Saccharomyces cerevisiae S288C: one gene and its partner. The protein of the gene in region 1 purifies or fractionates together with the protein of each later gene. This does not show direct contact. Each region holds a gene or a part of one and is shown in the gene's direction. Other genes may lie near its edges.

Evidence for each region.
Region 2: the proteins of YJR012C (region 1) and PEX7 purify together in Saccharomyces cerevisiae (affinity purification with mass spectrometry, with the first as the bait; 2 studies listed by BioGRID). This does not show direct contact.

Annotation. Positions count from the first base shown.
Region 1 is NC_001142.9:459,265-462,337, reverse strand, and holds YJR012C (uncharacterized protein), read left to right. Parts: upstream 1-2,144; coding exon 2,145-2,543; downstream 2,544-3,073. Other genes in the region: TMA22 (Tma22p), read right to left, coding at 1-509; GPI14 (glycosylphosphatidylinositol-alpha 1,4 mannosyltransferase I), read right to left, coding at 745-1,956; CAL4 (Cal4p), read left to right, coding at 2,912-3,073.
Region 2 is NC_001136.10:739,656-743,523, reverse strand, and holds PEX7 (Pex7p), read left to right. Parts: upstream 1-1,923; coding exon 1,924-3,051; downstream 3,052-3,868. Other genes in the region: ubiquitin-protein ligase SAN1, read left to right, coding at 1-1,482; DOP1 (Dop1p), read left to right, coding at 3,527-3,868. UniProt on the Saccharomyces cerevisiae protein: Receptor required for the peroxisomal import of proteins containing a C-terminal PTS2-type peroxisomal targeting signal, such as 3-oxoacyl-CoA thiolase. Specifically binds to cargo proteins containing a PTS2 peroxisomal targeting signal in the cytosol.

The DNA of each region.
Region 1 (3,073 bases):
AGCAAGGAATGTATGTAAGTTTCCACTTCATCCATCACGTCACCTTGAATGACAACTTCTTCTTTTTTCTCTGCATTTTTCGAGACTGAGCACCCTGTGGCGAACCTAGACGCAAATGTCTTGGCTAGCTTTTTCATGTCGATGTCGAAAACTTCCAGCCCAGAGATAGCGACGATAAACTTTCTCTTGGTCCTAGCTTCTCTTTTAATGATCACTTTCGATGACAGCTTCTTAGCTAATTCTCTTTGTTCCCTGTTTTCCTGTTTTTTTTGAATTTTCAGCAAGTCCTTTTCCAACTTTTCCTCTCTAGCTTCGCCAATACTGGATTCAGCCAGTTTGTTGGTCACGGCTTCCACCTCTTGCGTATTATCGTCAGTACCGTATAGCTTTGCATAAAGGTCTGCGTGGTTTTCAGATAACCAAACTTTACAACGCTTTAATTTTCCTGAAAACTCGCAGTACTCTGGTGGGTAGGAGCAAATTCCACAATAGATGACTTCTCTTAACATTTTATGCAATATGCTTTTCTTTAGTTTAGCTCTTGAACTGTTTCCTTGGGGTGATTTTATCCAGTAGGAATTAATAATTTTTTCACTCACACATCACATCAAGTATCTTTTTCCTTTTTTTTTTCAGCTTTTTTCTCTTTTGGTGGTGCGCTTTTGCATTTTTTTTTTCATATTTACACATTCATTATATGAGTAGATTTATAGAATTGATGTACATGGTGCAAGTTCACGTCAGTCAGTTGTTCTTTTTGTTGGAAACTGTGGGTTGCGTCGGTATCTTAATATCAGTAATAAATTGACCCAGTAGCCACACATTGGTGACGAAAAATAACACGCTTGCAATAAATAGTCCAGGATAGAATACATTCTTGCCTTCGAATTCCAAATAGTAACCTTGGCTTAACCAAATTCCCTGCGTTCCTACCCAAAGCGTGGCCATTAAAAGCCCCTTCTTCCAACCAATGTGCGTTCTTGAGAGGTAAAATGGTAGAAAGATCAGGTACCAAACAAAATATTGCGATGTGCACACTTTATTATATGTCACAAATGCGAACGTCTGCACAAATAAAACCCTCAATAGGTTATCGAATGTGGGATTCCACCATTCAAGACATCCAGTTACTAAAACAAGCAGCAATTGAGGCACAAATGCGTACCTTGAGAGATTGGACTCACCATTTTCCTTATTTGCAGAATCTAAATACAATAGCATGTTCCACACTGAAAAATTGTGTCTGTGATCCGTTCTGTATAAGTGGTACAAGTATGCCTGATCCAGAAACTCGTATCCGTATATCTTGTACATTGCCCAACCACATCCAAGCAAAGTTGTTAGAGTACTCAAACCGATATTGAGTAGCGATGTAAGTTGTGTTCGTGGACCCTGGTTTCTTTTATTGTAGTATATAAAAATTGCTATTGGGATACAATATATGATTGGATATATTTTGAAATGGATAGAAAGACCATATAAGATTCCAGCTAGGGTGTATCTACTCTTTTGTAGAAAAAAAAGCGTGAACATGATCAAACAGCAAAGCACGCTTTCAGCGTTTCCCCTTGTACTGATGGTGATAACCATCGGATTCAATAGCCAAATGCTTTCCAATATTAAAGCTCTTTTTCTGGAGATGGCCTGGTTCAAAAGCTTCATTATAATGAGCCCAGTAACCAAATCGAAAATAACAAATATGACCTTCCCCAAATGAAACCATCCAAAATAATGATTAGGCACTAGCAGCCAACTTAGTAGCGGTGTGTAACGATATGTATCCCTTGCATAAGGTGATTTGCCTTCGTATACATATTTAGCAGCATCATGAAACACAAAATAGTCGATATCAGTGTACCTCACTTTGAAATTAGCGTCCTGGTAAATGCCAAAAAGAAAAAATCCGACTCTTACCAAGAATGACAGTACAGTCAAGCCCCATTCTTCGCCAGTCATCTTTCAACTTTATCACCTTTTACCTTGCTTGTCAGTTGTTGACTTTTTTATGTATATATATTGTGTTTTTTTTTGTCAAGTTCTTACCAACTATTAAAGTTTCTTTTATTATTATCGGAGCCTGTAAAAGAGCTCCACATGTTTCGGTTTACCTCTTGAAAATTGATTGCGAACATAACGAGTCAAGCATGGCAGCAGGTGGTGAACTTAGTTATGAAGAGTTGCTGGATCACATTCTGAATAACAAGCCTATACCTAATATTGTGGAGGTGCCCAATGTTACGCTGGATGAGGGTTTAGCTAGTACTCCTTCATTGAGGCCAAGACCTAGGCCTTGGGAAGGTCAGCTGCAGCATCAATCTCATCAAGGATCATTAGACAAACCCAATATATCTCTGGACATTGATCAAGAAAGCCTAGAAGGCATGACCTCATTAACAAGGCTGTCTGAATGTTACGATATACAGTCTAAGTTACAGATTAATGACAGTGACAACGATAATGATGACAATAACAATGATAACAATAAAGGCGATGGCAATGATGACGACAATAATACAGTAACAGCAAATCCAACAGCTAGGTAAATTATTCACCCAACAGGTATGTAAAAAAATGCATTTATATATTTATATATAGTACTATTATCTTCCCTTTTCTACTTAAATTTTATATCGCTCATTCATACTTAATCATAGACCTGCCCTTTTTGCGTTTAAAAGAATACAAAGGCACATGCATCTCCTTCTTTTGTCTGCATAATGTTTCTAACAAAGTTAGTGCGATATCTGTCGTTTTATCCTTTCCTTTTTATTAATTTCACAGTCTGATCTTTTATTGTGATTAGATAAGCGGCGTTGGTTTTAATTTCACGCTAGTTAAGTCAAAGCAGAATAGAGAATAGCTCTACAAGAAAAAGGACAAATAAGGTAACTGTGATAGCATATAAAGGCGTATGAGTGAAACACGAGAATCTAATGAAAGTACAGTTTCGTCTTTACAAACCAAACTTTTGCTCAATGACGGAATATCCGAAAACAACAAGAAAAATGTTATACTGCTGAATCAAATAGTGCCGTTTATTCTGAATACTTCACATTATATGACGGATCTAATG
Region 2 (3,868 bases), on another chromosome or scaffold:
AGCTTCATATCTGTTGCTGCTCAGCTTGCAATGGAGAGATTCAACAGACTATTAAATAGACCAAAAGGAATATCAAAGGATGAGTTTGATAAGCTCCCCGTTCTGCAAGTTTCTGATCTACCCAAGGCCGAAGGGCCCTTATGTAGTATATGTTATGACGAATATGAAGATGAAGTTGATTCAACTAAAGCAAAAAGAAAAAGGGATTCTGAAAATGAGGAGGAATCTGAAGGAACAAAAAAAAGGAAGGATAATGAAGGTGCGCCCCTACGCACAACCGCCGATAATGACAGTAACCCATCGATTACAAATGCTACGGTTGTTGAACCGCCTTCTATTCCTCTCACTGAACAACAACGCACTCTCAATGATGAAGAAACAAATCCAAGCTACAAACACTCACCAATCAAGTTACCTTGTGGCCACATTTTTGGGAGGGAATGTATCTACAAATGGTCAAGATTAGAAAATTCTTGTCCCCTTTGTAGACAAAAGATCAGCGAATCTGTAGGTGTTCAACGTGCAGCCCAACAAGATACGGATGAAGTAGCAGCTAACGAAGCTGCTTTTGAACGTATTAGACGAGTTTTATACGACCCAACTGCAGTGAATAGCACTAACGAAAATAGTTCCGCCCCATCCGAAAACACGTCCAATACAACGGTTCCCACTATCGGAAATGCAAGTTCTGGCGAACAGATGTTATCAAGAACAGGCTTTTTTTTAGTGCCTCAAAACGGCCAACCTTTACACAATCCAGTCCGTTTACCGCCTAATGATAGCGATAGAAACGGTGTCAACGGGCCGAGCTCAACTACTCAAAATCCACCCTCTAATTCTGGTGGTTCGAATAACAATCAAAGTCCGCGCTGGGTTCCCATCCCTTTGACTTTGTTCCAATTCCACAGTCCAAATCCGAATCCTTCCGCTTCTGATTCTTCGGCAAGCCCATCAGCAGCGAACGGTCCAAACTCAAATAACACTAGTAGTGACGCTACAGACCCTCACCACAACAGACTAAGAGCCGTTTTGGATCACATATTCAACGTTGCTCAGAGGGGAACTTCTGATACCTCTGCAACAACAGCACCCGGAGCACAAACTGTTCACAACCAAGGACGTAATGACTCATCGTCCTCTGATACAACGCAAGGAAGTTCCTTTTTGGAAAATATTTCACGATTAACAGGCCATTTTACGAATGGCTCAAGAGACAACAATAACGACAATAACCATAGCAATGATCAACAACGAGGTGGAAGTACTGGTGAGAACAACAGAAATAACTTGTTTTCCTCCGGTGTTGCCAGTTATAGAAATCAAAATGGTGATGTTACTACCGTCGAACTACGCAACAACAATTCTGCTGCCTTTCCTCCTACAGACGAAAATCCCTCTCAAGGCCAAGGTTCAAGCAGTTCGGACACCACCATTCATAACGACGTCCCTAATGATAACAATGAGCAACGATCATCACAATAAACAATACCGCTTCTGAAGTATGTTAATATGAAAATATGTCCTATTGGCAGTCATCCATTTTCAGACATTATTTTCTACTCCTTTTACCTTTTTTTTATCTGCATCTTTATATATATATATCATATACTTATTTTTCTTTACTTCTACTTAAAGTTCTATAATCATTGTTAATCAGAAATTTGCATGTCTCCAGCAAGTAAATATGAAGGCCGAGAAATTAAACCACCGACATAACCTCCTCTGAAAAGTCGTTTCGCAAAACAGTAAAAGGTGAAAACACTTTTAAGAACTGTGGAACACAAACTGTGTTTTCTTACCATAAAATCTTTTACCGGAGGTCGAAATCGTTTTCTTTCTGATTTGGAATTCGACGCTCGAAAAGTGCAGAGATCTCATATTGTTAACGGACTATCATCTAACTTTTTGCATAATTTATACAACATGCTCAGATATCATATGCAAGGTTTTAGTGGGTACGGTGTCCAGTATTCTCCCTTTTTCGATAACAGGCTCGCGGTAGCTGCTGGTTCAAACTTTGGCCTGGTTGGGAATGGAAAATTGTTCATCCTTGAGATTGATCGTTCAGGTAGAATAGTGGAAGTTAATTCCTTTTTAACACAGGATTGTTTATTTGATCTTGCATGGAACGAAAGTCATGAAAACCAAGTGTTGGTTGCACAGGGCGATGGTACATTACGCTTGTTTGATACAACCTTTAAAGAGTTTCCTATTGCTATATTTAAAGAGCATGAACGAGAAGTATTCAGTTGTAATTGGAACTTAGTCAACAGGCAGAATTTCTTAAGTAGTTCATGGGATGGATCTATAAAAATATGGTCCCCTCTAAGAAAGCAAAGTTTAATGACCCTTACTCCACGACCTTTAGAGATTACCAAAATGGTGGATCCATTAAACGCCATTATATTGAAAAAGAAAAGCTTTACAGGTATTTCAAAAAACAGGAACTGTGTATACCAAGCACAGTTCTCGCCCCACGACCAAAATCTCGTATTATCCTGTTCAGGGAATTCTTATGCAAGCTTATTTGACATTAGACTACCTTCCGGCAAAAATCAGAATAATTTTTTAGTGCATTCAGGACTAGAAGCATTGACTTGCGATTTCAACAAATACAGACCTTATGTAGTTGCCACAGGAGGTGTAGATAATGCCATTAGAATCTGGGACATTAGGATGCTAAATAAAAATGAATCAGCGACTATCAAGAGGACTGTGCCCGGCCAACTTCACAATTCATCATGCATCAATGAAATCCCTAATGCGCACGGGCTGGCAATCAGAAAAGTTACCTGGTCCCCTCATCATTCCAATATTTTAATGTCAGCTTCATATGATATGACCTGTCGAATATGGAGAGATCTCAGCAACGATGGTGCAAAAGAAACATATAAAACTAACTCTACGGATGCTACTAAAGGTTCCATTTTCAATTTCACACAGCATTCAGAATTCGTATTTGGAGCTGACTGGAGCTTGTGGGGAAAGCCAGGATATGTGGCTTCAACTGCATGGGATGGAAATTTATTTGTATGGAACGGCTTAGGTTGACACATATTCTTTTTACACAAATTTTTTGCATTATTTAAACTTTAAAATTATTTTTCAATCATTGTCAGCATTTGGCAGATCATTTACGTAATTATTTAATATTCTCAACACGAAATTATGGGTAACAACGCTTCTGACTGTGCAAAAGAACATTCTAAAAACATACCTACGGCAAAAACTGCTAATTACTCAAATTAATCAAGTTTTTATAACGACATAAGCGAGTGCTGAAAGAAGGAATATTTAGAGTCCGATTACCGTTTTATTAATAAACGACATACTTATATATTTGCTGGGCGTTCCACCCGAGGCACGTGATCAAAAGTGATTTTGGTTTTTTCAAAGGCTAAGCTTCGATCTCACTGGAAAAGGAACAATAGCAATACCTAATATAAAACTCAAGCCTCCCAATTATGTTTATAACGGTGAAATAAAAAGCCGACAGAGCAGCTTTTTCTGAGAGGATCGACAAAAAATGTCCTTACCACTAAAGCCCCTTACAATTGACTCAAATAATAAACAACTAGACTCCAAACAGAAGAAGTTTCGTGCTAATGTCGAGCGAGCATTAGAAAGATTTGACTCTGTAACAGAATGGGCGGACTATATTGCTAGTTTGGGAACACTATTAAAGGCGTTGCAAAGCTGGTCACCTAAATTTCAGAATGTAAGGTACTATGTTCCTTCTCCATATCAAGTAAGTCGAAGATTGACATCCTCATTATCGCCGGCGTTACCAGCAGGTGTTCATCAGAAAACTTTAGAAGTATATACGTATATCTTTGAACATATTGGCCTTGAAACTCTGGCTACAGAA